Linked DNA regions of Neurospora crassa OR74A. The protein of the gene in region 3 purifies or fractionates together with the protein of the main gene of each other region. This does not show direct contact. Links are inferred from orthologs where the notes say so. Each region holds a gene or a part of one and is shown on either strand. Other genes may lie near its edges. The genes, in order: NCU09488, NCU05235, NCU00981, NCU03380, NCU03321, NCU09004 and NCU03066.

What was found.
Region 1: the proteins of NCU00981 (region 3) and NCU09488 purify together in Saccharomyces cerevisiae (affinity purification with mass spectrometry; 4 studies listed by BioGRID, with this or other methods). This does not show direct contact. The link is inferred for Neurospora crassa OR74A from reciprocal best matches to the Saccharomyces cerevisiae genes NSA2 and SDA1.
Region 2: the proteins of NCU00981 (region 3) and NCU05235 purify together in Saccharomyces cerevisiae (affinity purification with mass spectrometry; 5 studies listed by BioGRID, with this or other methods). This does not show direct contact. The link is inferred for Neurospora crassa OR74A from reciprocal best matches to the Saccharomyces cerevisiae genes NSA2 and RLP24.
Region 4: the proteins of NCU00981 (region 3) and NCU03380 purify together in Saccharomyces cerevisiae (affinity purification with mass spectrometry; 5 studies listed by BioGRID). This does not show direct contact. The link is inferred for Neurospora crassa OR74A from reciprocal best matches to the Saccharomyces cerevisiae genes NSA2 and SPB4.
Region 5: the proteins of NCU00981 (region 3) and NCU03321 purify together in Saccharomyces cerevisiae (affinity purification with mass spectrometry, with the first as the bait; 4 studies listed by BioGRID). This does not show direct contact. The link is inferred for Neurospora crassa OR74A from reciprocal best matches to the Saccharomyces cerevisiae genes NSA2 and ERB1.
Region 6: the proteins of NCU00981 (region 3) and NCU09004 purify together in Saccharomyces cerevisiae (affinity purification with mass spectrometry; 6 studies listed by BioGRID, with this or other methods). This does not show direct contact. The link is inferred for Neurospora crassa OR74A from reciprocal best matches to the Saccharomyces cerevisiae genes NSA2 and TIF6.
Region 7: the proteins of NCU00981 (region 3) and NCU03066 purify together in Saccharomyces cerevisiae (affinity purification with mass spectrometry; 7 studies listed by BioGRID, with this or other methods). This does not show direct contact. The link is inferred for Neurospora crassa OR74A from reciprocal best matches to the Saccharomyces cerevisiae genes NSA2 and NUG1.

Annotation. Positions count from the first base shown.
Region 1 is NC_026502.1:4,438,943-4,443,299, forward strand, and holds NCU09488 (SDA1 domain-containing protein), read right to left. Parts: upstream 3,101-4,357; 5' UTR 2,971-3,100; coding exon 2,888-2,970; intron 2,783-2,887; coding exon 631-2,782; 3' UTR 500-630; downstream 1-499. Other genes in the region: NCU09489 (phosphoglycerate mutase), read left to right, coding at 3,469-3,524, 3,579-4,350.
Region 2 is NC_026504.1:5,663,699-5,667,635, reverse strand, and holds NCU05235 (ribosome biogenesis protein RLP24), read right to left. Parts: upstream 2,182-3,937; 5' UTR 2,032-2,181; coding exon 1,956-2,031; intron 1,872-1,955; coding exon 1,267-1,871; 3' UTR 563-1,266; downstream 1-562. UniProt on the Saccharomyces cerevisiae protein: Involved in the biogenesis of the 60S ribosomal subunit. Ensures the docking of NOG1 to pre-60S ribosomal particles. Activates and recruits ATPase AFG2 to cytoplasmic pre-60S ribosomal particles.
Region 3 is NC_026501.1:6,508,539-6,512,213, reverse strand, and holds NCU00981 (ribosome biogenesis protein NSA2), read left to right. Parts: upstream 1-1,336; 5' UTR 1,337-1,520; coding exon 1,521-1,523; intron 1,524-1,640; coding exon 1,641-1,659; intron 1,660-1,735; coding exon 1,736-2,021; intron 2,022-2,166; coding exon 2,167-2,608; intron 2,609-2,675; coding exon 2,676-2,711; 3' UTR 2,712-3,000; downstream 3,001-3,675. Other genes in the region: NCU00980 (hypothetical protein), read left to right, coding at 1-641. UniProt on the Saccharomyces cerevisiae protein: Involved in the biogenesis of the 60S ribosomal subunit. May play a part in the quality control of pre-60S particles. Under normal, rapid growth conditions, high levels of NSA2 would allow the progression of pre-60S particles through the ITS2 processing.
Region 4 is NC_026502.1:903,868-908,080, reverse strand, and holds NCU03380 (ATP-dependent rRNA helicase spb-4), read right to left. Parts: upstream 2,801-4,213; 5' UTR 2,724-2,800; coding exon 2,493-2,723; intron 2,429-2,492; coding exon 695-2,428; 3' UTR 384-694; downstream 1-383. UniProt on the Saccharomyces cerevisiae protein: ATP-binding RNA helicase involved in the biogenesis of 60S ribosomal subunits. Binds 90S pre-ribosomal particles and dissociates from pre-60S ribosomal particles after processing of 27SB pre-rRNA.
Region 5 is NC_026501.1:5,301,326-5,305,802, reverse strand, and holds NCU03321 (eukaryotic ribosome biogenesis protein 1), read right to left. Parts: upstream 3,013-4,477; 5' UTR 2,949-3,012; coding exon 2,554-2,948; intron 2,484-2,553; coding exon 2,244-2,483; intron 2,171-2,243; coding exon 2,058-2,170; intron 1,998-2,057; coding exon 785-1,997; intron 718-784; coding exon 339-717; 3' UTR 125-338; downstream 1-124. Other genes in the region: ada-4 (all development altered-4), read left to right, coding at 4,199-4,265, 4,377-4,477.
Region 6 is NC_026503.1:4,190,701-4,194,909, forward strand, and holds NCU09004 (eukaryotic translation initiation factor 6), read right to left. Parts: upstream 2,500-4,209; 5' UTR 2,100-2,499; coding exon 2,065-2,099; intron 1,858-2,064; coding exon 1,699-1,857; intron 1,575-1,698; coding exon 1,028-1,574; 3' UTR 541-1,027; downstream 1-540. Other genes in the region: NCU09005 (hypothetical protein), read right to left, coding at 3,466-4,209. UniProt on the Saccharomyces cerevisiae protein: Binds to the 60S ribosomal subunit and prevents its association with the 40S ribosomal subunit to form the 80S initiation complex in the cytoplasm. Is also involved in ribosome biogenesis.
Region 7 is NC_026501.1:4,413,724-4,417,873, forward strand, and holds NCU03066 (GTP-binding protein), read right to left. Parts: upstream 3,002-4,150; 5' UTR 2,897-3,001; coding exon 2,869-2,896; intron 2,798-2,868; coding exon 1,173-2,797; 3' UTR 832-1,172; downstream 1-831. Other genes in the region: NCU03065 (mitotic control protein dis3), read left to right, coding at 1-656; NCU03067 (hypothetical protein), read right to left, coding at 4,020-4,150. UniProt on the Saccharomyces cerevisiae protein: GTPase required for 60S ribosomal subunit export to the cytoplasm.

The DNA.
Region 1 (4,357 bases), on a different chromosome or scaffold from region 3:
CATAACTTATCATTCACAGGCAGGTACGGAGTGAAGAGCCGTGAGGCAAGGCGTAAAGGGCAGGCAAACATTAGGTAAGTACTGACATCAGACGAAAGAAGGTACGGTATCGATCCAGCCAGCTCGAGACCCAGTGACCAGGGCAGCCAGCTAATCTTCTACAAATACATGATCGGGTGGACTTGTCACGCTGCTGCAATGTTCACCTTGTTGGCCGAGTGGTTTACGGTCAATACTGAAGGCAAAGGTTGAACGAGATGGCGACTTTAGTTGAAGTCTGTGAGGCGACGAGGCATACGAGACTACCTCTACTCTAGAAGTTCAATCTGTATTGGGTAAAAGTATACCTCTACCGTGCCTCTACATCTGTAACCCTTGGACGGTGACGGCGACGGTTTCTCGTTCTTCCCTCATCGCGGAGTCAAACAACGGACCGTGGGGAGAAAAGGGTGATATGGATAAGTACCATGGAACAAAGGACCAACTTCACCCGAAAGGACTGGAAACAATGTGTGATTACACATGAACGAGTACAACACTCGTCCGCAGTTAATTTCCCAAAACCTAAAAAAAGGTACAAACAAATACGATTACGAAAACAGAGAATCACCGATTCCACAACTCTCCGTGTTACATACCGTTCCTTCTCCTTCCTCCGCTCTTACTCCTAGCAATATGCGCCGTCAGACGCTTCTTGGTATCCACCAAACTCCTCTTATGCTTCGCCCTCGCCTTACCAACCGTCATTAGGAAGTTCTTCTTTCTCGCCTTCTCCTTGTTCGTCGACGACTTGCCCTCAGCCTCCTTCTTGGATTTCCTGATTGCCTGCGTCGACTTGTGCTCCTCACGCGCAGGCTTGCCATCCTTGGCCATGGCCACCCGCTCCTCCTTGGTGCTCTTCTTGCCAATCTGGGCAGGCAACTCAATGTCGTCGGCGGTAACACCGTCTTCGATGTGCTTGGCGATAAGTTCTTGTCTCCTCTTGGAGACGGTGCCTGTCATCTTGTCTAATTGGGCCTCCCGGCGGAGCTCTGCCAGTTTGGCGAGGTCGGCGGGCGTGAGGATAGTGGTCATGGCGAGCTTGGAAATGCGGTTGGCTTCGGCGGCGGCGGCCATGGCTTCGTCGGAGATGAGATCAGGAGCCGTTGAGCTGTCGCGACGCTGCTTCTTGGCTGCAGGCCCTTCGTCCTCGTCATCGGAGTGCTCAACGTTGATCCACCCGGTTGAAGAGTCAGAATCGTTGGAGGCGACTTCCCACTCGTCGGAATTGAACCCATCTTCGTCATCATCATCATCCTTCATCTTAGCGTCTCCATCAGCATCCTCACCCTTCTCAGCGAGTTTCTTGAGTTTCTGCTCCTCCTTGTACTTCTCGAGAAGCTCGATACCCTCAATACCGCTCTCCACTTGCTCTTCACCAAACTTGAGCCTCTTGACCTCACCCGACTTCAATCCCATGGTTGCCTCCTTGCCGCGGAACTTCTTTTGCAGCAGCTCGGGGTAAACTTCACGGTAAAGAGACTGAAGACCCTTGGCGGCCATTACCACGCCCTTGTCCTTGGACTTTTGGTACATGACTAGATCTTGAAGGAGAGTCTCGCTCATGCAGAGCGGTTGGCGCAAAGCGACTTCACGGATAGAGTTGATACCGGCAGAGGCAACTTCGGCGGCAGAAGCCTCCGAGACGAACTCATTGGCGATCTTGACAACGAGAGGTTCGATGGCGTCGGGAGGAACGTGGTTGTGTGTCGCCTGCGCCAAAGAAGCGAGGAATGAAGTGACGGACGGTTGCTTGGGCGTCAAGTACTTGGTGAACCACGGATACAAGGAAATGATGGTGAGCTTGTGCAGACCGACCAGACGGGTGACGAGCTGGAGGACCAGTAGCTTGTTGTCGAGGGAGAACTTGCACTTGGTATTCTGCAGGTGTTTCTGGAAAAGCTGCTCGGCGAAGCCTTGAGGATCGTGAATGAGGTGGAGAGCCGAGAAGTTCAGCGGATGAGGGGCATGCTTCTTGCGCTCCTGCTTCTTAATCTTTTCCATGGCCTTCTCCATGGCCTTTTGGCGCTTCTTGGTCTTCTTGTTGATAGTGCCCTGATGCTTGACCTTCTTAATGTCAATCTCCTCGTCACTAGAGTCGTCCTCCATCTCCTCGCGCTCCTTGTCGCCACCCAAGAAGAAGCGGACACCACCAACGACGACCTTTTCGTTGTCGGACAAACAGGCCTCCTTCATGACGTCGCAGGGCCGGGCGTCGGTCCAGATCTGGCGGCGCCACAGCTCGCGGGTGATGCGGCAGGCCCACATGCCTTTGGTCGAAGTGCGGTCCGAGGTAACGAGGTTGTGCAAGACAGTTTGGATGGTGCGGTTGAGCTTGTGGTTGGTGGCCTTGGAGTTGGACTCGCGCAGGTCGCTGACGATCTTGGTATACAGGAGGGAGCGGAGAGACTTGGAGGGCGTCGAGATTAAAATGGGGAAGAGGGTGGTAAGCAGGCTGGTCGAGTCGATGACATCCTTGCGACGGAGGAGAGACAAGCTGCCAACAACCTTTTCGCGAAGATCGGGGTTGAGAACGGCATGGTGTTGAGTCAAGAGCTCCTTAAGGTGGTCGAAGTAGGGGGCAGTGACATCGGGGTACAGATCGGCGACGTGCGCGACGAGGTCAACGAGATCGTGGAATTTCTTGTTATCTTCGCTGGAGGCGGAGGAAGGGGACGAGATGAAGATTTGCCGTTGGGCGTCGTATGCGAGCCATTGGTCGTAAAACTCTTGGGCATAGGATCTGGAGGAGGAGGCCAGGGTGTTAGTAAACAGAAGCGACTGACGACGAGGGCAGCAATTGGCGACGACGACGACGACGACGACGACAACAACAAGAACAACTCACTTGGGATCCCTCCTGATCTTGTACTGCAAACTGACCAGGTCAGCGTCGACCTTCTCGAGGGCGGCCACCTTTCTCTTGGGCATCTTGGCGGCTGGAGCGGGAAGGACGGTATTCTGAGTGATGTTGAGATCGATGCGAGTCGCAACGAGAGTGCAAGCCGGTTCCCTCTGCTCTGTTCAGTTCCAGTCCTCTGGCACAATCCTCAACCCTCGCTTTGCCTGGAGCTTCAGCGGTCCAGAATTTTTTGGGAAATTGATTCCTTATCGGATCCTTATCAGCTGCGCCAGTGGAGTTGGTGGACGTTCCAGGCGGGGAGGACCCTGGACAGCGCGGCATTCTGTACCCCACTTGAACTGTGCCCTTTTAAATTTTCTTTTTCTGCCGCGCTTTTTCTTGGATTTCTTTTCCCTTTTGCTTTCCACAAATCACCATTTACTTGGGCGATTGACGGCAGCAACTGCTCCCCGCGGTTTGCTATTCCCATTCCGGCGATGATGCATTCCTCATCCGCCACTTGAACTTGGACAACCGAGACGATTGGCATATGCTGTCTTTCGTTTCGTCCTTCATCTCCCAACAACATGCGGCTCTTCCTCGTTCGACACGGAGAGACCGTCGACAACGTGGCCGGTTTATAGTACGTTCAATCCAGCAGACCATGTCCACAGGACAATTGGCTGACCTTCCCCAGCGCAGGCATTCGTGACTCCCCCCTCACCACCCACGGTGTCTTGCAGGCACGTCGTCTAGCCTCGCACTTTGCCTCGCGGTCGTCCTCAATTGGTCCTGTCACGCACATCTTCTCTTCCGATCTGCAGCGCGCAGTCAGTACTGCCCAGGCCATTGTGGACGCCCAGGTGACGAAGGCAACGGAGAAGGAAGATACGGACCATTCCAAGCTCCAACTAGTACAGGTTGTCGAGCTTCGCGAACGCGATTTCCGATCTGCCGAGGGGAAGCGCTTTGGCACACCGCATTCCGATGCCGAAACGCATGACGAGATGCGCGCGCGAGCCACCGATTTCGTACAAGCCCACCTGGATCCGCTGCTGGACAGTATCTCCAATGGTGATAACTGCAAGACCAACACCTCCGTCGTGGTTGTCGCGCATGGCTTGATACTCAACTCGCTCTTGAGATCACTTTTGGCGCGTTATGCCCCAGAAGAGATGACGAGGCTTGCCAACGCAAAGCTGTCGTCGGGTTCTGTTGCCGGAAGGTCAGAATTTCTCGCTGCTTGGAGCAACACTGGATATCTCGAGATGAAGGTGGATGCCATCGCCTCGTCTGAGGAAACCGAGAAGTCGACTGCTCAGTTGACTGTCGTCCGGGTCAACGTCCTTGACCACCTCCACGGCCTGAAAAGGACCAGGGGTGGCATTGGCAGTGCCAAGTTTGACAGTAAACAGAAGACGATGGATTCGTTCTTCAAACCCGCTGCCAAAAAGCGACGGGTTGATTGACCGGTGT
Region 2 (3,937 bases), on a different chromosome or scaffold from region 3:
GAATTCCTCTTCCCTAGGGAAAGGGCGTGCTGGTTGGGAAACCGTGACGGCTGGGGATGAAGACAGCAATGGGGATGATGATCATGTTGACGATGTTAACGAGGTTAACGATATAATGGGGTAAATATATGATGAGAGAATGAGATGGAACTTGATGATGATGATGATGGGGGGTGGGGGGAGGGAAATAGAGGTGGGTGGGCTAGACAACCTGACAAATGGGGAAGCAAACTATAATGAGAAACTTGGCTGTGCTTTGTGCTTACGGTTTGGCTGGCTGGCTAAAGCAAGGCGATCGGAGCATTAGCATGCGAAGGAAGGGGTTGGTTTGGTTTTGTCGGGTCTTAACGCTTATAATAATACAAATGATAAAAGATATAATACTTTGTATTTAGTTACCGACTTGAACCAACTGTGTCTTTTAGGTGTTGTTTAGAGTTGTTGTGTTGTCGACTGAGTGCAAGATGGAATCAACGAACGGGTAGTAGTCCAAGATTGACCTTGGATATATCCTTGGCTAGGATACCTAGTCAGGTCTCGAGCTACAGAGGTCAGTCACGTTGGCAGAAGACAGAAACGAGTAACTTGTCGAGTCAGAAAGTACTGAGGATTACTACTATAAAACAAGACAAGACATGGCAGAAAGAAAAAAACAAACAAGTACTTCATATTGTGGGTCTCCCCGTGTCTATTAAACGCCAAATTCGCCGATTCCAATAAAACCGAAAATATGCTTTGCTACTAAAGGTAGACTGATTGATCCCCCCCTTGAAAACCATGGTTCTGAATATAATGAATCTTTCCAATGACCTGTAGCGACCAACGACCAACCAACCAAGCAAGGGGTATAAGCAAGCCCCGAAAGCAGCCATCGCTCGGGGGGGAGGATTGTCTGTCTGTCCAAAGCCACAGTTACTGTTTTTACAGTTAGAGTATTGGCTGTTGGTCAACCAATTGCTGTCTGTCCTGTCCTCTTTCTGGTCGTTCCGTCTTTATACACCAAGACCCGTTCGTCGTAGTTGGGCTTTGTTGCTGGTGTCAACTAGGCAGGTCTCAGTGGCGAGGAAAGGCCGCCGAAAAAATACAGCAGAACCCTCCCCCGCATAGGGATATCGACAGCCGCGGGAGCGAGTTCGTCCGAAGAAAACAAGCAAACAACGAATGATCCCGAGAAAAGAGGTGGCTGGTTTCGGTGTTGGTGATGGTGGTGGTGGTGGTTGGCGGTGGTGGTGGTCGCGGTAGTAATAGTTACAGAGACTCGGGCGCTCAGTCGGTATCCATCTCGTCGTCATCGTCCACGTCCTCGAAATCGTTCTCGTCATCGTCATCCTCATCGACCAAGCCTCCACCAGCGACGCGCTCCGAGATCTCTTCCACGCCGCCGTCTGTCCTGACACGGAGCCTCTTGACCTCGCCGCCAAACGCCTTGGTCTTCTTGCTGGCAGCCTTCTTGGCCAGCTCCTCGCGCTCGAGCTCCTCGACGTCCTGGCCCGTCTCCTGGGCGAGCTCGGCCAGCCTCCTCTTCTCGGAACCGCGCAGGCGGGGGAGGAGGTGCTCGTTCTCGGCGACGAGCTTGCGGGCGGCGGCGACCTCGCGGGCGCGCTTGCCGGCCATGCGGCGCTTGTAGAAGATGCGCTCGCGGCGCTGGCGGATCTCCGAGATACGCTCCATGGCCTTGACCGTCTTGGCGAAGAGCTCGCGGTCGTAGCGGACGGGCACGTTGCGGCGGGCGGCGAACTGCAGGGTGCTGTCGACCACCATCTCCTTGCCGGCGTTCTTGCGGTAGGCCTTGGTCCACTTGAGCTTGCGGGGGTTGCGCTTCATCTTGAAGTTCTTGTGGCATTTGGAGCGGCAGAAGCGGAAGGACTTGCCTGTAACATTAGTTGTACCCTGGTTAGCAATTGGCCTTGACGGAGAGGTTGATGATGGGGAACTGAAGTATGACAAAAACATACCATCGTTACGCATAAAGGTAATGCCCTTGGAGGGCCAGGCCGGACGGCCGCAAAAGAAACAGGGATCGACACGCATCTTGACGGGTTATGTGGGTGGTTGTGGTGGTGGTGGTGGTGGTGGTGGTTGAGGAGAGAAGCAGCGAGCCGGGTGAGGATGGGCTCGTTGTCTGTTCGGGAGGGGGGGGAGGAGAGGGGGAAGCAAGCAACAAAGTCAACAACAGCGAAACGGTCAAGGGCGCCGCTTCTGAAAATTTCTGGATGTCGGTGTTGGAAAAGTAAAGTGGGGCGGAGGGGACGCTTGGCTTATCTTAGCGCTATCGTGCTATCAGCCGACAAGACTCGGGTTAGGGTTGAGCGTGCATATACGCCAGCCCAGACGGTTCTTTTCTCTTGATTTGACAATGATGGTTCCCGATGATCGATTCCTCGATGTAAGTTGGCCGGCAATTGCGGCTGCTTACTTTCGATGCTCTCTCGACAAGCGATGGCCATGATGCTCAAGTCGACGGGCATGTTTACTTTTCCCAAATCAGTATATTCCCCGATCCATCCAACAATACTTCTTGAGCTCACGATCTTTTCGCTTCGCGACAATGTTCAGTCACCAAGATGGCATTGGTTTCTGTTAACAGGACTCTCGCGGACCCTAACATTGCTAGCTCCACTCTCTTTCTTTCCCATCAGTTACTGCTAACGATTAAAGTCTGACACCCTCTACAATGTTCAACACCGGGTATCATCGGTGTTCGTGACTGCAATTTTTACCATGTCTGAAGAATCTATTCGAGTTACAACTGAAGGCGTCAAGTTCTTCTCGGAGACTGTGGCGAAATCGGATCTTGAATTGTCTGTCATTTCTCACAATGATCAAGACCTTCTGTGATGGAAACTCCGTCGGCAGTAGGCCAGTGTCTGTTGAAGGTGACTACTTAGGCTTTACACAAAAAGAGGTCTTCCTTGACACTTGGTTGATATAACGCATCTCCGTCTCTCAGATTGAACTTGAAGTGCAATGGACTTTCCTCACTCCTTCCCCAATCACAGTGCTCCTTTCATCTCACTCACAGCGGAGTTGAGGGTCGGGTGCTGACCGAGAGCCCCATCAGATCCACAGCGCTAACTCAAAGATGCGGGGACGGAATCCGGGGAAAGCGTCAAAAGTGGAGTCGGGTTCCCCTGAGGCTCCACCAGACTAGCTCCTGCCCTGCGACAGTAAGGGTCCCGAGATCGTTCTTTCCTGATACAAACCGTACACTAAGTATAGGAAAGTCAAGATGTCGCTATCTCTTTCCAGTTTCTTGTCGGTAATTATCCCATGCGGTTCACCGTAATCTTCCTTCTCAAACTTGGTATCTACTGAAATGTACAAAGGATCAAAATTACAAACCCAACACCTACTGCTTCCTCCCCCAGCCACAGCACACGCGCACCGGACCACTCCTCGCTCCGTGGTGCCATTAGACATCACAGAATCAGACGACGGAACTCACAGACGGGCCGCTGTGATACAAAAGTGACGTCCAGCCACTCGAGATGATTGGATTTTGGATATTGCCTGCCACTCCTACCCCGCTCAATCCTGGGTTACACCATGCCTCAGCCAGACGGTTCCAGGTCTCGAGAAGCCGTTGGACATAGTAACTACTCACAACAGAGGAAGAAAAGCAGGAGGTGCAGGCGAGAAAGGCGGAGGTGAGCGGTGGCTCCCTGTCTAGACCGTCCACTTGCTGCAAGGCAAACCGGGGAGGGGAAGTGGCACAACAGGAGGTCAAGGCTTGGGCATCTCCCCTCAAAAAGATGATATCGAGTTAAGGACACTGCATGGGGAAGGAGGGTGAACTACCACCAAGACCCTGACAGTCTAACAAGCAGTAACAATACCTGCTGCTTTATGTTGTGGTTCCCATTTCTGCCACATAAAGGGGACTCCCGTCTCTCCCACTCGTTATATATCTGCTTCTTCTCCTCGTGGCACCTGGAGA
Region 3 (3,675 bases):
GCAAGGAATTAAAGGCCGAGGAAGCGAAAAAGGGCAAGAAGGATGTAAGGCCACCGACTACCGGGAGGAGCGGTGTGACAGCTGGGCCAACCCGCAATGGTACCAACGGCACGACTGCGAACCGTCAGCGGAGTATCACCCCCTCAGCCCCGGCTGGCGCCAAGTCCAAGACAGGCCAAAATGCCGTGGAGGAGAAGAAGGTAAAGAAGGCTGCTTTAGCGACGACTGGATACCAAGGCACGGCACGTCCCCGCCCAGGGGCCACCACCACAAAACCAGGAGCATCCACCTCGGCAGGCGCAAGTAGGGGCCGTGGGCTGTCCGGTTATGGCGCCTCATTCTCACGTCCCCGGAGACGCGAGGAGGAGGATGAAGAGTTGGACGATTTCATCGAGTACGACGAAGATGAGGACGATGGCTACGGCTATGGTCGTCGCGGTGGTTACGAGTCACTGGAAGAGGATGACTCAGACATGGAGGCGGGATTGTCCGACATCGACGCGGAGGAACGCCGGGCAGAGTTGCAGGCTCGCAGAGAAGACATGGAGCAGGAGGCGCTGGAGAAGAGGTTGAAGCGCGAGAAGGAGGAAAGAAAGCGGGCAGCACTTGCAAAACTCAAGTCCAGAGCCGGAGACCGCTGATATGTCGTGGTTGCGTGGCGTGTCTCCTTCTTTCTTTTGCCTCTAAATTGGGAAGGTTTCGGCGCATCGTGATAATTTCAAGGCAGGAATTCGTTTTCTGGAGACGGTTTTGCAATGGCGTTGGCTGGAAGACAGGACGGACACCCAGAAACATTTTGCATCAGCGTCTGGAGTTTAGTCATTTTGCACGGATTCCGGTTTCATTGGCGGGCGTTGGCTGGCAATAGAGCCCGTCGGACGAATTATAGTATAGGTTGTCATGACACGGTGTAGCATATCTAGATATCTTAACACCCCCAAGCATACCACGTCTTTGGGTTTTGCCTTTGTTGACATACCTACTGTGCTCGTTGAAGCGGGTTATGCGAGCCACACAACTAGTGTCCCTTGGTAATAACCTAGTTGCAGGAGCCATTCTACGAATGGTAAGGTGATCTCCGGATCTATACAAAAGTTGTCCACTGGCCTTCCATCAAGGTTCTCGTCCTCAACGGGCGGCTCTGGCTGCCGCGGTGCACTTCCAATGCCCTGCAGCTGGCAGGCACCTTCATCCGAACCCACTCCACGTTTTCCTGGACATGCTGTTAAGTAGATATCAACCAATGACAGGTGATGAAGCTGCCCCACTATGTCCACCTCTTTACGGGTCTCCGCCACTGGAGGAGCCGCCCGATAAGGAAAGCTAGCCTTGAATGGTTTTTTTATCGGCTTCAAGACGTCCGTTCAGCAGGCATTCGCATAGGTAGAGGTACTGAAGCATATTGACCTAAACCGCATCGTCATTCTCGTCGCCCTTCGTCGCCCTACAACATCTGAAGGCCAGATTGCGTCGCCACATATCTTGAACCGCAAGACCCTCAAAGGGCCTAAAACACCAATATGGTACGGATATCATTTCTTCGAATTGCCCTCCCAATCCACAGCCACTCTCCTCAACATCATGACCCCTTCCGATCACTTGAGAGCAGACCATGCTAACCGACGTTTTCCTGAATACAGCCTCAGAACGAATACATCGGTATAGTTCCCTTCGCACTCGATCTTGATTACCGTCGACCTGTTTCCAGTCCCTAACCAATTATTTCGTTTCGCAGAACGCGCCCAGAAGCTTCACGGTAAGCGTCTGGACACCGAGGAGCGCGCACGCAAGAAGGCTGCCCGTGAGGGTCACAAGCAGAGCGAGAATGCACAGAACTTGCGTGGCCTGAGGGCCAAGCTCTTTGCCAAGGAGCGTCATGCCCAGAAGATCCAGATGCGCAAGGCCATCAAGCAGCACGAGGAGCGCAATGTCAAGGGCGCCCCCGAGGAGAAGGACCCTTCGAACCCCGTTCCCGCTTATCTGCTCGACCGTTCGAACCCCACGAGTGCGAAGGCTTTGAGGTACGTCACTTGAATGGGAGGACACATGAGAAGCGAACGGCCGCGGCGGAGGTGGAGGCCAATGTGAATGCAATGATGGCAGTAGTCATGGAGGTTGGAAAGGGTCCCATACGATGACGAGAGACTGACCGTTTTCTTCGTGCAGTTCCCAGATCAAGAGCAAGCGTGCCGAGAAGGCCGCTCGTTTCTCGGTCCCTATTCCCAAGGTCAAGGGTATCAGCGAAGAGGAGCTTTTCAAGGTCGTCAAGACGGGCAAGAAGGTGCACAAGAAGGGCTGGAAGCGCGTCGTCACCAAGCCAACATTCGTCGGACCCGATTTCACCAGACGCCCAGTCAAGTACGAACGCTTCATCCGGCCCATGGGTCTCCGTTACAAGAAGGCCAACGTCACCCACCCTACCCTCAATGTCACGGTTCAGCTCCCCATTCTCGGCGTCAAGAAGAACCCCAGCAACCCCCTTTATACCCAGCTTGGTGTTCTGTCCAAGGGTACTATTATCGAGGTCAACGTTTCCGATCTTGGTATGGTCACCGCGTCGGGCAAAATTGCCTGGGGTCGTTATGCGCAGATCACCAACAACCCTGAGGTATGACCAGCACAACCCCGCCTCTTAACTTTACATGGACGAACTGCTAATACTTAACTTCCACCAGAACGACGGATGCTTGAACGCTGTGCTCCTGGTTTAAGCGCAAGAGTGAAGAGGGTGATGGTTTGATTTGTCTAATTATATGTCTAGTCTCTTGGGCGGCAACTGTAACGGGATTGCGTTAAATCTGATTTTGCATCTGGGACTGGCGTCTGGTGTTTTGAAAGAGGATCGACACTCACGGCCGCGCAAAATATCTCGTCCGGGGGTTCACTTAGGTAGTATAGTGGTTAAGATACACACACAATCTGCGGTAGAACATTATACCCTCCGATCATTTGTTTTGGTTGATTGTATCACCTGATGGTTTAGAAGACATGGATTAATACGATAAGACACATAGATATATCTTCTCTGGTTGCTGCTGCGCTTGATCTAGGTTGACTCCCATGGGTTTCGAGCAGACTATGCTGGCAAGCGATTAACCTTACAAAGGTCTAAATGGCTGTATGGAACCCTGCATCCTGAGTCGATGGAAATTTGCTGGTCGATTTGACATGCAACACCGCAAGCAACTAACGCAAGGGCAACACATTGACTTCTACATCAGCTCAGAGCATCTAGCTTGTCTTCTGTATCTTGATTTTAGAAGGAGAGCAGTTCCGAGCTTCATCACTCCAGGGTCAACCCAGCCTCCAAGAATCAAAAGCAGGTATTTTCTATCCAGACCGACGAGTAACTTCTGTACTCTTCAAGCCCACTTGCCACCACTCAACGGTCAACGAAACGCTGATACCGTACCAACGAAGAGCTACTCGAAGCGATATAAAGAAGCGATTTGCCCATGTCTCGGGATCCTAGCTTTAATGGCCCCGGGAAAGCGCAGGAATCGGTAAGATGCATCGTAGTCACCCTCTCCTTGAAGCCAAAATCTACCAGAGAATGTGCAAACCAGCTTTTCAACTAAGCCAAACTAGGTAAGGTAAACAACCGGAACCCCAATGGATGAAACCAGAAGAACCAGTCATGATTTAGGCGATCTCCCTACTCTTTTGAGAGGCTCT
Region 4 (4,213 bases), on a different chromosome or scaffold from region 3:
TCTTCGCCTGAATCACAGTCAAAGGCATACTGATGAATGAGAACATCGAATTTGGTTCCGGTACAATGCATGTTTTTCTCTGAACATGATGGTCCTTACAGCTCAGACAATAAAGATTCAATTAACTGCAAAACCTTGTCCCACTTCTAATCATGTTAACCCGGCGTGTGGTTGAGAGAACAAAACCGAACATGGACACTTCAACGTTATCCATCCTACTAGGGAAGGAAGGCCGTTGCAAGGCTGTGATATGCCTCCTTATGACTTGGAACCACGCCGTCCAGAGTCTATTAGGGATTATTTGGTTCAGGAAGGAGTTTGAAGATTGCCTAGAAGATAAAATCAAGACGCATGCATGCGAGCAAGAGTATACTGAAGGTGTGATGTAGTGGACTGAATACATTGGTTTGGTTTGTTCATACGAACACTTTGTTACCACAATGTCTCGAATTTCGAGAACATTTGTGATATCGATACTGTGTCTCCATTTGGGTGTTATGATAGATATTGTCTCAGGCAAAACAGCTGTACTTTTCGAGTACACCCATTATCATGATTACCATGAGGACTCATGGATACAGCATGCCAAGAACCAACAAAATTCCAATTCATCAAAAGGGTATATACGCCTCATACGCCTTTACGTCTTAGAAAATGAACCATTACCATCAACTCCCATTACCCAAGAAGCTACTCAATCATCAAACCCACCAAACTCTTCATCACTATCGTCCACCTTCTTCACCGGAGCCTTCGGCTTGGGTGGGTTCGCCGCAAGCGCAGCTGCCCTCTCCTCCGCCGCCTTGGCCTCGTTCCGTTTCCTCACCTCCTCAATCATCTGCTCCAGCTTGAGATGCTCCTCCTTCTCTTTCTCCGTCATCTCGCTGAATTTCTTGGCCTCCCTCTTTCTCCTCTTCTTCTCGCGCCTCTGCAGTTTCGTCTCCTCCTGTTCCGCCTTGCCGCTCCACGCCTCGTTCTTCTTGCGCTTGTCGCCCGTATTCTCTTCCTGTGCCCGCTTTGCCTTCTCCTCCTTCCACTTGGCCAGCTCTTCCTGACGCTTTTTCTCGCGCACCTTGTCCTTGAAAGGAATTTCTTCCGTGTTGATGCCCAGACCCAGAGAGCGGTCGATCTTGGCTTCGCGGACTTCGGGCATCTTGGGCAGCTCGAGAAGGCCGTAGCCCTTGGCTAGGTCGAGCCAGTCGAGGTCGGCGATGCGGAAGATGGAAGAAGCTTGGTGTTCGATGTAGGAGCGCGTCCAGGAAACGAAAGCGAGCTGGGCCATCTGGAAGATCTCGCGGTCGGCGAGGGCTTGCGATCGGAAGGCGGCGGAGACGCGCTCGACTTCATCAGGGGTGACGGAAATGGCGGGCTTCTCCAGGGGCGTGATGGGAGTTTGACGGACTTCAAGAAGCTGTACGTAGCCTTCCTCGCGACCCGGCTGGAGCAGAACGACGGCGAGACCCCGACGACCGGCACGGCCGGCACGACCGCAGCGGTGAATGAAAACCTTGGTGTCCGTGGGCGGGTCGTGCTGGATAACGAGGTCGACTTGGGGGATATCAAGACCGCGGGCGGCAAGATCGGTGGTGAGGAGGACCATGGGCGAGGTGGTGTTGACGAAACGCTCATAGTTCTTTTCGCGGACTTTAGGTTCGAGTTTGCCGTGCAGGGAGGTGACGGAAAAACCGGCGGGCAGGACGGCGCCGAGAATGCGGCTGAAGTACTTGACGGCCATGCATGAAGAGAAGAAGATGATGGATCGCTGGGGCCTGGGCTCGAGCTTTTCGAGGAGCTGGACAATTGCTGGCATTTTCTGGCTGGCTGGGGTAACAAGGTAGCTCATCTGTAGAGACATTGGTGTTTTCCTCTCTTGAATTATGCCACCGTCCTTCAGACTCTTCACTCTGACGGTGATCTTGTGTGGGTACAATAGACCAACTGTAATCAGCCTTTCAACGGCGTCACTGAGCGAAGCACTGAAAAGACCAGTACGGCGCTGCTTCGGAAGATATCCGAGAATGCGGTTGAGCTCGTTCGCGAAACCCATATCGAGAAGGCGATCGGCCTCATCCATAATGAGAACCTCAAATGTAGACGCGGGAGCCTTGACGTATGCGCTCGACAAGAGTTCGGCAAGACGGCCGGGAGTGCCAATTAGGAGATTCGGGGAAAGACGAAGGAATGTACCGAGATCCTCAGCAGCCTTGGTGGTGCCTCCGACAAGTAGTTGGGGGACAACGACAGGCTGGGTTGCTGTTGGGCGCTTCTCGTCGCTTTTGGCGTGGGAAATGGCTTCAGCGGAGGGTTCGTGAAACTTGACGAGGGAAACGAGGACATTGTAAATCTGGGTTGCAAGTTCGCGGGTGGGCGAGATGATAATGCCTTGGACATGGTTTCGCTTGGCTGGTTCTTCGCCGCGCAGGAGTTTCTGTTGCAGAATCGGTTAGCATATGATCATCCTGAGCTGGTAGACAGCAAGAGATCCGGCTTACCTCAACTACCGGAATCAAAAAGGCAAGTGTCTTTCCACTGCCTGTTACGGCCTCGACGACAACATCTTTATTTCCACGGAAGAGCTCAAGGCATGACTTTTGAACGGGAGTCGGCTGGGTAAAGCCCATGGAGGAGAGGTAGTCAAGAATCCATTGGGCGAGAGGAGGCGTGAGAGCGTCCCAAGACCTTGGAGGCTTCCGGACCTTAGTCTGTGGTTGGGTAGGCGCCATGTTAATTATGTGGTTGGCGGAGTATCGGGGCGTTGTAATCGATCCCTGAAGCTCTGCGTATTGCCCGTGGTGATAGCAGTGCGATGCTGTTGAAACAAAAATTGGCCTGGCGACCATCCAAACAATCCTTATCTTATCTGCCTATCGATAAAGCTAGCGTGAGCGTAACCTCGCAAGTTGCATACAGTACACAGCAGCCTTCACTTCTTTCGAATCCAATTTGATCGGTCCAAACCTAAAGATCTTCCCATTAGATTTCAGAAATTCGTTGGACAACTCACGACTTATACTAATTATATCCCAGATGTGCGCTCAAGCCGTTTTGTATCGTGAATATCAATAGACAGCTTTCGGATCTTCACGATCGTCTGTTGTTACTAGTGCAATTATCAGATATTGGAATGTGGGTCTCATCGAAGAACCCACGCAGCCACGGCAACCTGACAAAGGCTTGATCTTATTTGCTTACATGGTATAGGTAGTGTAATGCTACAACTGAAGGTGTCAATATTCAGCTCGACTAAGCTCCAGTGGCTCCCAAAATTGAAGTCTACGTCGTCTTCATCCAACCTTGTTTGACGACTGGCCGTCTGCTCAAGTCCATGATAGGCAAACATGCTAAGAACGCTTGAACCACTTTTACATGATGAGGAGATTGTGTACAAAGAAATCCCCATCAACCGAGATCGACCAAGGTGATGAACGTCAACGGTTGAGCAGAGTACAAAGTCTCTTTTCAACAAGGCACGGCAATATACTATGGTATAGGTATATCGAGCAACGCCTGGCATGAACTGAAAATGGCGGCATTCACGCCCAACCGTCTTCCTTCAGTTCAGTCTCAACTTCCTGTTGTCACATGCAAGGTCGCGTCGCTGTGTGCTGTTGCTGCTCTTGAAAGGCCACCACCCACCAATGTCATCACGCCTTGCCGCAATTGGGGTAACGGACCAGGGCAGTGAGCTGGGGAGCCCGGTGCAACCACCTGAAGCGCAACGCAGGACACGCGCCGGCTGATTCCCACTCGCACTCATGGCCGGGCATCCGCAACAGCCGAAATTTCTGTTCTTCACAAACACCGAACCACTGTCATTCGTCTATGATCGTCATCACTGGATCCTAAACCAAGTCCAGCCCAGGGTAACGTGCCACCTCAGCCACCGAGTACGGGTACAGTTTCTTTTTTTTCCTGCTTTGCACATCTTTTTTTCCTCTTGCTGTCAAGATACCCTTCTTTTTCCTGGACCTGAACCCTCCATATCCTATCGATTCGGCAGAAGAGTCGAAAAGAACCGACACTTGCCAGTCAGAAGCATCATTACTCGTCTTGATGCCACCACGGGTTTCCCTAATTTGCTGAGATACTGTCTGTCTTACTTGACTAAGGAACCCGGTCCATCTTGGTTACAGGTCACCTATCCCCGGCCCCCCGGTCACCCGTCCCGCCTCAGCTCAGCTCGGAGGTTGGAGCCCTCTCATTCTTCCACTTG
Region 5 (4,477 bases), about 1.2 Mb from region 3:
ATTGAATAGACAGGGGTCGTAGGGCAGACAAATAATCCCGTTGCCTAACAGCCATGGCGAGACCTCATCGGCCTAGATCAACCCCCTGCTGCCCAATAGCAAAGTAGCGTAAAGACGAAAATGTGGTATATTTCCTTAGCATTCCGAGAACTCCGCCGAACATACATGCAGTCGACTTGTATATACTCCAACTGGCCTGTGTATCTTTCTAATCATAATAATAGCACATCCGAGCACGCCAATCAAGACAAGCAGACTGATTAACCTGTCCTCTCGCTTCCGTTTTCCTTCCTTGTGTTTTGTTCATCTTTTGTCTCGTCCCATTAAACGCTGTTCTTTTACATCCAGAGACGGATGGTGCCGTCAGCACCGGCAGACACACACCACGGCTCACGCGGGTGCCAGTCCATATCCAGGACACCAAGCTTGTTGACGACCTTGTGTCCCTTGAGCACCTTGACAGGCACAATGGTGGGGTTCTCCAGCTGATCGTTCGGGACCTTGCCGTGGAAGATTTGGAGAGTGCCGTCGTCACTGGCATCAGCGAAGAGCGGCAGGCCGCCCCTGTGGTACTTGACCTGACGAACCGCCTCGCTGTGGAACCTCATCGTCTTGTACGGACGAATGGAAAGATCCAGATCGTGCCACAAGAGACGCTTGTCGTAACTGCCAACAATCAAGTTGTCACCGCCGGGGTGGATATCGAACGAAGAAATCCTACAAGTCAACAGAGTTAGCAAATCAATTCCAGTCACATTATCCGGCTAGCCATGGGGATACGTACCACTTCGCGCCAGGCTGGACAACCTTGACCAGCTCGAGCTTCTGCAAGTCGTAGCAGCGAATTGTTCGTTGAGTGGCGACGAAGAAGAGAGGACGGAGGGGATGGAAAGACGCTGTCTGAGCCAAGCCAGAAAGCTTGCGGAAGGGAATCTGGGTGAGGTGCTTGGAGAGCGTATGGATGGCTACGGAGCTCCTCTGTCCGGAAGGCGATACTGTCGCAAAATGGTCTCCTTTCCTGTGCCAGTTGATGACCTTCACGGTCGACCTGACTGTGATCCTGATCAAGACACCCTCATCCTCGAGCTTAGCACCGGGGCGGGCCCACTTGGCAGGAGGCTCCTTGCCGGGAGCAGCGCCGTGTTGCTGACCGTTTGTAGCATAACCGAAGCCAGCCGACAGGATATCTCTGCTAGCCTGGTCCAAAGCAGGAGTAACGCTGGCGTGTGTAGGAACCATGAGGTAGACATCCTCACCCACAGCAGCGGAGAGAATGAAAGAGTCCTTCGCGGGCCTCCACCTAACGGTGTTGACAGCCTCCTCACTGCTGAGCTTGACGGACCAGACTTGGCGACCCGTCAACAGCTCCCACACACGTACCGTACCGTCGTCGCCACCGCTAGCGACAGCAACACCAGTAGGGTCGATGGCAACGCTTCTTACACGGCCGTCATGGCCGCGGAAAACTGTTTGGGCAACTGTAGGGAAAGGCTTGAGCTCAGAAGGCGAAGGAAGCTTGGGCAGGAGCGAGTTGGGATCGATGTTGAGCCTGTTCTTCCGCACACGAGGAGCAAGGTAAAGGTCCATGCACCTCTCGAATCTCTCCTTGACGATCTCGCCATAACCGGGAACTTTCCGCAAAGAGTCGTATTTCTGAGGGAGATACTCCTTCTCGCGCTCCTCGGGGTCGAGCTTCTCCCACTCCTCTCTCTCCTCCTTGGTCGGTAGGTATTCTGCGGGCGGGTTGTAACTCATGTCGAAACCAGGAGGAGGCAGCTTGGGTGCCGGGATGTGCAAGGGGTTGACTTCTTGTGGCACCTCATCCTGCCAGATATCAAAGTACTGCTCCTCCTCTTCCTCCTCCTTCTCGCGCTCCTCAGGGGGCTTGTAGGGCAGGATCCTGCCTTCCCTAATGGCGCGAACAAGCTTCATAATCTTCTTGGCCTCGTTCTTGGAGGGGAGGAAGCGACGCTTGGGCTCAGGGGCAGCGCTCAGGGCTATTGACTTGTTAGTTGCACCATTTCAACAACGATAAGTGTAGATAGATTTTGACTTACGCATTTTCTCCTCAATACCAGTAAAGTATTCCACGGTTTCAGGGTAGGGGTTTTCCAGCTCGTTGGGAATCATACCCATCTGGACACGGCGAACAAGCTCCAATTCATCATCACTACGGTATGGCAGTCAGTAAGCGTGACCCGAAGAAACCGAGCAAGACAAAGGAGGATGGGTTGGGTGCATACTTGAGGTTGAGAGGGTTGCCGGTGTGAATATCCGTAAGGCCAGTCCAGCCCTTGGGCACTTCGATGCTGTCGAGGAGAGCATCAAGAGCGTCGCCAGTGGCCGGGCGCATAATCTTCTTGCCGTTGATATCATAGCCGATATGGGGATAGCTGTCGTAGAAGCTCATGGGGATGTTGCCGATGGTGTTTGGCGCTTCTTGGGCATCGGAATCGTCCGAATCGTAGACGGGGTCGATCTCACTGTTGCATTCTCGAGTTAACTATGCTGGCATGGAACGATATTTGATCCATTTGCAGAACAACAACATACTCGTAGACGTAGCGCTCGTTGCCGTTCGCGTCCTTTTCGATCCGATAGTTCTTGTCTCCATCATCCTTCTCCGGCCGCTTGGGGTCGACTCCGGGTATCTCAATCTCGAGTTCCTCTTCTTCGTCCTCGAGAACAAGTTTGCCCATTGCCTTGTCGCCCTCAGCATCGGAGGGAATGTCGTCGCTTAGTAGGGAGCCCTCCTCATCTTCGTCGTCGCTGGCCTCACTTCCGCTTTCCTGCTCGCCGTCCTGTTCGTGCTCATTGTCGTCGAAGTCAGAATCGAACTCGTCTTCGCTCTGCGACAGGGCGCCGTCAAAATCGGGTGCAATCTCGTCGTCGGACTCAGGCTCGGCGTCCTGGACCTTTCGCTTCTTCTCGGTGGCTTTTGGCCCCATTGTGAATGTGTGTTGATTTTTGGCGTGTTTTCTGCTGGTAAAACACCCAGATAGCGTCGCAGCGATAGGCGTCGAAAATTCCTAGCATACGAATTGGCCTGGGACTTTTTTTTCTGCCGGTTCTACAGCTCATGGCGGGGACGAGTTGGTCTCACCGCCCTTGGCATTTCTGGCAGCTAAAGAACCATAACATATTACCCTATCGGTTTAGCGTGTCAAAAGACAAATGAAGCCAGGAGCATGCACTCCGTGTCTCCGTCCCTCTGATACCGACTTCAAATTTTTAGCCTTATTTGTTACTTGTATATCATGGATGAGATGAATACCGAACTCCAACCTCGATGCAGCATCCCTCTGCACCCCTACACCTGGCTTCAACCACGCACGATTCCACTTCTGTAGTTCGTCCTGCCCGTTCTGTGGGTATTGGCAGTCAAAACTGGCAAACCAGCATCAATCAAATACCCGGCGTGATCAGATTGAGTCTCCATGGATCGCTTGTAATTACAGACTTTTGTTCGAATTTTACCCCATTGCCTCTTACACTACGGTTTTTGTCACCATCGCCGTCTTTTTGCGCTTTCCAAGCATGGCAGTTGACAATATGTAGTGTAGCACGACGCCTGCTAGGGAACCTTGATGGGCTAGGGTTACTCGACACCTTCACACTACACTACTGCCATAAAACCCACGCTATAGTCATCCCATAACTAGCAAAAGGACATCATTCATGCCTTTGGCCAGTGAGCCACATATATGTCCAAAGGCCTGGGTGTTTGACTGATACACTACCAGTGCCATTTGAGGCAACGCGGCAACAAAAGTCAGTCTCTGCATTATCTGTGTCAATTGCGGCTTATTAATATGGCATCAGGTCTGGCGCGACCAGGTGATCTTTGATTGCTTGCGTTGGCTCGTTAACATTGCGGGCCTGGAGCATCTTGTCTGAAATCTGCTTTCTTTGCCCTCCTCTGAAAACGAGTCGATCCTATCATCCTAGGTCCCTTGTTACAACGTACATATCCATGCTGTTTGCCCATCTACTGTGTACACCACACTAGCGTCTACATAGATAGTGTCTTGGAGTACCACCGGGGCGATTTCTGTGTCTTCTAAGCGGGGCTTGCGGAGAGCCTTAGACGTTTACCTTACCACTCAACCCTTTTTATCCACCACACATCTACGCCCGCGGAAAAGAAGGGGAGAAAAAAAAAGCAAAATAAAGGAAAGGCCGGTTGCGGAAAACAGCCATGATCTCAAACAGCGAAGTCACTAAGGAGAAAGAGCCGGTGAAACGCCGTGCCTGTGACGAGTGCCGTATGTTTCGTCCCGCTCCCCGTTTCGATCCATATATTCATCTACCTCTACCCTCTAGTCAGCAACCATGACTGCCCAACCGCACTAATGTATCTAAATTAACAAATGCAGGGACACGGAAACTTGCTTGCACAAAGGAACAAGATGGCTGTGCGCGGTGTAAGCGCGAAGGCGTTCACTGTAACTACTCGGCCCAGAAACCCATGGGTCGG
Region 6 (4,209 bases), on a different chromosome or scaffold from region 3:
TTTAAATTATTTCCACCCATCACATACCAAGCCGTTTCCAGAAGAAGAAGCAGGATTCTCGAGTGAGACATTATACGTAGCCGCCGTGGATTACCATGTCGTTGTGTGTGGACTTGGACTCGTGGTAGGTATTATACGCATTCTATAGCCCCCCATTCTATGCATATGGACATGTCAGGTCAACAAAGTGTTGACGAATGCTGGGTCCCACGAGTCCCTGGAACGGACAACCACATCATCGTGCATGATGAAACACTGCATCACCGCTGCTTGCTGGCAACCGCCGCGATCGCAACCAACCCTGGCACTCGAGGCAGCATCGGGTGTGGTACATGCCGTACTGTGTTTTTGCATGATGGTTTTTTTGTAAACATTGATGATGGGGAATTGTCTCAAGAGGCATCTCGCTTGGCGTCTGGATTTGCATTCGTAAAAGGAGGTGATGATCCCGTCATAGAGCATAGGGGACGAGCTTGGAGTTTCAGTTGGTCTTCTTCACTGGATGACAGGTGAACCAAGAACTACCAGTACAACCCTAACCCTTGGCAGAAAACCGTGCCTTGCCCCAAATCCCAAAGACATTGGTCCCGCGTTCTGGACTTATATGTCACATGTTAACTGAACCTCGAAGAGTATCTATACTTCGTGATTATTCTGAACGGCCATGGCCATGTCAACTGGAAGCTTTTTTTCATTCCAGATGGCATTTCCAAAACTCGAAGCAATCTCGCAATCCAGGCCGAGCCACAACCACGGTCATCTTCACACATATCCATATCCTCACGCAAAAACGCCAGTCATAGGAACCATTCATTGGAAGAAAAATCGCCTTGTTTGCTCACGCTTGAGCATGCATGTCAGAAACGACCCATTGTCGTTGGTATACCTGACAAGAATCCCGCCTCCTACACATCCATCTCTCGCCTCCGCTCCCTCCTGCCTCACACATTGCCTTCCTTTCTCCTTGCCTACCAAGCACAGATAACACCAACTCCAAAACAAGCCCACAAAAGAAAAACCATTGGATTTAGTAGAAAGACTCGACCATGGTATCCTTGAGGCTGGAGTTGATCTGGCCAGGCGCGGCACCCTCTCCTAACCTGAACACGCTCTCGATAACACTCAGCTCGGGCGCCGTAGTATCAAGACCAGTGACGGCCATCCAGTCGTTGACCACCATGCCACCGCCGATGACGTTGGAACCTCTGTTGACGGAGCCGGCCACCAGCGGTACCTGGAGCAGGGAGCTGAGCTCGTCCTGGTCCTGGATGGATGTCTTGGGGTGAACGAGGCCGCCCTGGTTGCTGAGCGCCATGTAGCTACCGACGAGCACGTTGTCGGCAATGGTCTGGCGGAACACCTCGACGCCGAGCACGTCGGCAATGATCTCTTCGGTCTCGCGCTCCAGATCCGGGTGGATCAGCGCCGTGTGGTCGTTGCACACAATCACGTTGCCCAGGGCCGACAGGCGCTCCTCGATACGTTGTATGCGCACGTCGTCGGGGAGACTGTTGCGCAGATGTTGCAGTTCCTGGTCGCTTGTGGTAGTGGGGACGAGGAGACCTTTGCGGTTACTGTAATTTTTTTTTTTACTCGTGGTTAGCTTACCAATGTCCCATAATCAGGTTCTCGGTTGCGCCCCCTCCGATACTTGGGACTAAAAGTTCAATCAAAAATGCAGAGGGAAGAAGCGCCTACCCAGCTGTCAAGCGACCGATGATTCTTGTGCCGGCAATGGTGGTTCTGCAGATAGGGATAACATCTTGGAGTTCGGCCTCGAAGACGCTGTAAAAGTTTTCGCTGGCACCGACGGCGACCAAAGCGTAAGAGTTTGTAAGTGTGGAAAAGACTCCAACCCTATTGAGAAAGCAGACAATGTTAGCGCGTCTGCTACTTGATATCCCGAAGAACTACCCTCCGCCCCCCATTCAGATTCAAGAGTCGCCTTGCTGTCGCGGTGTCGAAGCATGGTATTGATGTCGTCGTCGGTGGCAGGCGGGGCAGATCTTCGATTTTCGCATCGCGATTCCCCATCTCGGAACGTGGAGGCCAAGCAAAACTTACTCGTTGGAGTTCTCGAACTGGGCGCGGACAGCCATGGCTTCGGTTCTTCTTGTGTAGTGCTCCTAGTGGGCTTCCTTTACTTGGTGGGTGAAGTGGTATTCCGATAGAGACGGAGAGATTGAGTTTATGCGACTGAAGCAATGGAGATTGGAGGTATAGAATGCCGTTTTGCTGCTTCGCGAATGACGACTGGTGGGGTGGGCGATGGAAGGAAAATATAATCTGGATTCAGACTCCAGGCTATGTGTAAAGTGGGGCGCTATCAAATCTGGAATCTGGACTGAGGAAGAACCACACAGCTTTTGGAAGCGGGTACCAAGACCCTTACAGATGTATGTACCAGTACTTGCCTTCAACAACAAGACATGGACGCATACATGCGGCTTACCAACCCAACCTCTCTACTCAAACCCTTCCATTTTTGCCATCGAGAAGTATGAGTTTGTCGAAATTCTAGTGCACTTGCATCGATACAATTTCATTTTCAATCACCGGTGACTCAGACACTTTGGAGCAATCCTCGTAAGGCTACGCGAGCAGTGCCTAGCCACCCTCGGGATGGCAAAAGGCTTGCCACACAGCCCACTATGTTACAGCGACATGGAAGCTATCCTCTACGTCTACCCGACCCCATTACCGCCTCCTAAAGCTTGTTTGCCCAATCAGATTTGCAGTGGCTTTCCCATTTGGTAGTGTACACTACCGCCATTTTCATTATGATTCATCATTGTTGCGATATGCAAGGTACCCAAAGAGGCTCACTTGCGGGGCGTAGTAGAATAGACTGGGGCTTGTTTCAACAGTTCAACTTCTGCAAAATGTAATGAAGTTGCTGTTGCAGTGTACTGTGTAGAAGATCACAGGATCCTGGTGGTATAGACATAGATGCCAGAAGCCGACATACCGGACAATTCATTTTGGCTTATCTTTTTTTGTTGAACTCGTCCGCTCGGCTCATGATGAACCCTAACCCACGGATTCACAACCTCTCCTCGTCAGCCCATGTAGCGACAGGACAACAATGAGAACAACCAAAGTGTGGCTAAGGGAGCCCGGTTGTCATTTTGGGTTATGAGCTTAGCAGAGGGAACGTATGGCTGGGGGAACATCTGGTTCAGTTGACGAGAAAGCGCACTTTGCCATAATGCCGTGAGGTACCTCCATATAACCCGCTGATACCAATTCCCATGACCGTTGAAAGCCATCATCCAAGTATCATCGCCTTTAAACAAGATGCATTTATACCAAAACTCCAAACTCCCCTGCCCCCGGCTGACCGTCAAGCACTAGTCTCGTGAGACCAGTAGTCTATTTAAGACGACGCGAACATTTATTTTGCCAACCCCGTTTTGCCGGATGATGCATGCCTTGCAAGAACTGATCACCTTCTTTGACTCAGTCTCATTGCAGTGTTTGGGCTGGAAATAGCTGCGGACCAGCAAAGCCTTTCGCTATAACCCCCTGGATATCAATATTTTTAAGAGGGTCAGGATGTGGACTCCACATCTTGAGCAGGATGTACCGCGCGCTCACCGGCGGGTCGAACTTGATGGTACACTTGTTCTTGTCCTTCTCAATGTAGAATTGGGCCAGCGGAGACATAAGCGCTCCGCCAACGGCTCGTACCGCCTCCTGCGTGGCCACCTGCGAGGCTTCTCGCGCTCGTTCAAGTTCGGGGGTTCCCGTGTCGTATTCGTTACGCCAACTAGCAGAGTGTCGCGCACGAGTGAGATCAGTCCAGTCCAAACCGCTGGGGTTCCATGGGTCTCTTCCGTCATCACTACTGTCGCTTTCAAAAGGCAAAGCACCAATCCTGTTGGGGGTTCGCCTACGCCGCAAATGATTTTCGTCTCCTTCGCTTTCGTCATCACTGCATTCGGTCGTGACATTGAAAGGCTGGGATGCAGCCGAAAACTCGGGAGGTAGCGCGGCTGCTGCTTGATCTTCATCATCGTCATCATCATCATCTATAGTGTTGATCAGATCTGATATGTAATCGCGTCGATATCTCGAGGGGTAGATCCGTCCATCGTCGTCGTGTCGGACCGAGTAGATTGTTGGAGTGTCGCGTGATGTCCGTGGTCGTGGATTCGCTGGTTGCTCATACTGAATTTGATATTGCGCTGTACATTTCAACAGGTCATC
Region 7 (4,150 bases), about 2.1 Mb from region 3:
GCGCCCTCGCCGATAGCCTCGACCTGTGCGTCGACCCCAAGGAACCCTTCTTCAACACGCTCATCCGCATCATGGCTACGCGCTGCATGATGTCGGCCGAGTACTTTTGCTCGGGCACCCAATCCTACCCGGAGTTCCGCCACTACGGCTTGGCCTCTGAGATCTACACGCACTTCACGTCGCCCATCCGCCGCTACGCCGATTTAGTTGCCCATCGGCAGCTCGCCGCCGCGATTGAGTACGAGGCCGTCCACCCGGCCGTCCGCTCCCGTGGCCGCCTTGAGGCCGTGTGCAAGAACATCAACGTGCGCCACCGCAATGCCCAGTTGGCCGGCCGTGCCAGCATTGCTTATTATGTCGGCCAGGCCCTGCGCGGCAAGGCTACGGAGGAGGACGGCTTCGTCATGAAGATCTTTAGCAATGGCTTTGTTGTGCTCGTGCCGAAGTTCGGTATCGAGAGCTTGATCCGTCTGCGTGACCTGGCGGAGCCGGAGCCGGCGGCGACGTATGATGCCGAGACGTACACGCTGACCACATCGGGAAGCAGGGAGGTTAAGGTGGAGTTGTTCCAGAAGGTCAGGGTGAGGGTGACGGATCAGAAGGATGAGACGACGGGGAAGAGGGGGGTGAAGATGGAGCTTGTTAGTACTTATTAGATTTGTTGAAGATGGATGCTTCAGTATTTGAGAAGGGGTACAGGTTAAGAATACCCTTGATGGACTTTTGTAGAGCAATACATTGTTTTTTTACTTTCGGCTATCCAAACGTTCATGAAGTCATTTTCGGAATGTCGTTGCTTTCGAATTCGATAATAGGCCATTGAAAACACAGCTCGGTATGATGAACGATGCAGGGAATGTCAGAAAGAATTTAAAGCTTCACTTCAAAAGCCTTTGTCATAGAGGTGTTTATGATCAGGCTATATTTGACCTATTTTCTACCAGCCGGCCTGCCTGTCTCCCTTTTTGCTCTTTCCCACCTTGACGCCAAAACGCCTCTTCACAAAGATGTGTCCAGCTCCGGGGTTCGTTGTATTGTGTTTCTGACATGCAAAACAACAAAATACTCATTACGACATTGACCACCGACGCAACCGAAAACAAAAAAGAAACCAAAAAGTGAAATGCTCAACAACAACTGCCAACAGACAAAGATAGGGGGAATAAATCGCTCTACTGCATCTCAACATCCGGAGTCGCCGTCTCCTCCTCATCTCCCCAAAGACCATCCAGCTTGAACTCCTTGGCCCACTCGGTCACGATCACCTTCTGATCCGCTAGGGGCTCATCAGCGGTAGCAGACTTGCCGCCAGCAGGAGCAGGAGCAGTGGCGGTACCAGCCACAGCCAAGACGGGAGCATCGATCCAGCCCTGGATACGACCGTCGCGCCAGTCGGTCACGACAGTCATGGCAGCGGCTTGGATATTGGGGATACCGCCCCTGCCCAGCCTGCCGCGCTTGCGGGCAACCTGGACAAGGAAGTCCATGGTGGGGTCGCCGTTGTTGGGGTCGCGCAGCAAGGGGGGAAGGTCGTACACCTTCATCATCTTGTCCATCAACTCGGGGGTGGCCGACAGGCGCTTGAGCAGCAGCGTCACGGCGGGGACCGGGTCCTCGATCTGCTTGGGCGGGATGGCATTAAGGAGCACCAGGTGGGCGTGCGCCTCGGTCTGGTTCTTGGGGGTGAAGGTCGAGTTGCCGGCAGTGGAAGGGAACACGATACCGGGCGAGTCGAGCAGCGTCAGCTTGCTGTCGATCTTGACCTGGCGGATCGAGGTGGTGACGCCGGCCTCGGCGCCGGCCGGGCAGGCGTTGTGCTGGCCGCGGCTGTTGCTGAGGCGGGACAGGAGGGCGTTGATGACGGACGACTTGCCGACGTTAGGGTAGCCGATTACGCCAACCTGGATGGAGCGCTTGAGGTTGCGCGAGACGGCGTACGACTTGAGCGCACGGAAGAGAGCCGCGCTGGTGCTTTGGACGGTAATGTCGCGGTGCTGGAAGGTGTGGGCGTTGGGGGCAGGGTTGGAGGCACGCAGCGGCAGCGTGGGGAAGTAGCGGCGCAGGTGGGTGAGCCAGCCGCGGAGGACCGGGGGAGGGATCAGATCGACCTTGTTGAGGATGAGGATCAGGCGCTTACCACCGTGGGCGGCGGCCATGACGGCGCGCTCGACGTCCCTCGAGCGGGTGCCTTCGGGATCACGGGCGTCGAGGACGTAAAGAATGACATCAGCCTGCTCAACAACCTGCTTGAAGACCTTGTCGAAAGCCTTGCGCGAGGAGGCGCCGCCGGGAACCTCAATAACGCCGGACTGTGTGGGTTCGCCATCGGTCTCGTCGTCGGACTCGTCGTCATCGTCCATCTCGTCGCCGCTCTGGAGCTCGCGGTCGTACTGCTCGGCAGCTTTCCTGGCGCTGGCCACCAGGGCAGCGAGGGGGTTCGACTCATCGTCAACGTCGCTACCATCCTCCTCCATAGCATCGTCGTCGTCCATCAGATCGTCATCGAACGCCTCGACATCGCCCTCGGCGCCCGTCTTGGTGTCCTGGCCAGTCTTGGCCGCCTTGGCCATCTCACGACGCTTCTGCTCCTGTTCCTTTCTCCGAATGCGGTCCTCCTCGATCTGGTTCAACAGCTTCTCCTTGTAGGGGAAAAGGTTCGGGATACCCGGGTCCTTCTTGAGCTTGGAGCGCCATTCTGGGTTCTTCTTGGCGAGCTTTCTGTCCTTGCGTTGCTTCGCGGCCGAGGCCTTCTGGATCTTGTGCCTGAGGCGTACGGGTGTACGCTTCGATTTCGGCTCTGTTTTTAAGTAACGTCAGTCAATGTGTTGATTGGAAGAATATGTTGTTCTCAGCGAAAGATTGACTGACTTTTGGGCTTTGTTATCGATCCGGCCATTTTGAAGATATGCTGCTCCTAATGTCAAAAAAGGAGGTACAGGAGGATAATTGAGGATGGGACAGCAAGGTAAAGCAGCAAAATCCGGTCGCTACTATGGGCGGCTGTACTGATTGATGGTCGTCAAAAAATTAGAGTGGAGGAACGGTTTGTGCCACTGCTGACCGCCTAGATAAGCTCTGATAAAGCAGGGATCCGCCGTGTTGAACTCCACCAAGATTCCAGAAGTCCCCGCTTCGAATGTGGAGATGCGCGTGCCTGTAATTTACAGTCGTATTGTATGTTTGATTTGTGTTTAGCCAAACGTGGAATGTAAATTATATTGATACACTTATGGTGTGGTTGCGCTTGTTCTCTATATGTATATGAAGAATTATTGCTACCGACTCTTTACGCAAGTGGTTTGCATTGCCTTTCCAGAAAGAGGACTTTAGGTCGGTCCGTCTCAACAATCAAACACTTGTCTGCCATGACGATCCTCAAATCCATCGAACCGTCCGTCAAGGTGCAGTTCTGGATGCCATCAGTTCTGTCGTCAAGCACTTGTTTATACCACACATGGACGCTGTACGCTTTTTTTGAGTTTTTGGATCATCATGGATTCAACAGAACACCGTGCCCCGCTCGCATAATTGATCGTCGCTTAAGCTGACAATGGCATTGCACTATGCAATGATTATCGGCAGAGCAGACACTCCGGACATTGGGTCATCTTGGCCTACGTAGACAAAGTCCTGAAGCAAAATAGCATGCTAGCATCGAATACGCATCAAGAAAGGGGGTTGTGGTGGGGAGGTAACATATCACCCAGAAACCACGCTTATCACGCTTCACATGAGGGAGTATCTTCAGAAACTCTTCCGTAGGTATCCCCCATTTAGCGTAGAGAAAGACGGAAGAGACCGATTGTTTCCCAAGTTATCGCACCCTTCAATCGCTGTTCTCTTGTAAATGCATCCAGGACTTGCGAGTCAATTGTATCCTTGATCTGATGGGCCCTTTCAACGCGTTCAAGGAGCTAATTTATCGCTAATTACAACAACGACTCATCCTAACGCTGCTGGGACAGTTGCTAGTTGACCGTATCGAGGTTTCCGATCGACCGGCACGCGAAGTGCTCCGCCTAAAACTCCTTTGCTGTTTCATACTGAACCCGAAGCACACGCTTTGCATCATCCATCAGGTCCATGTGCTGATAGATAACACCAAGCTCGCCACTGGCTTCGATGCGCAGCTCACTTGATGCCGACATGG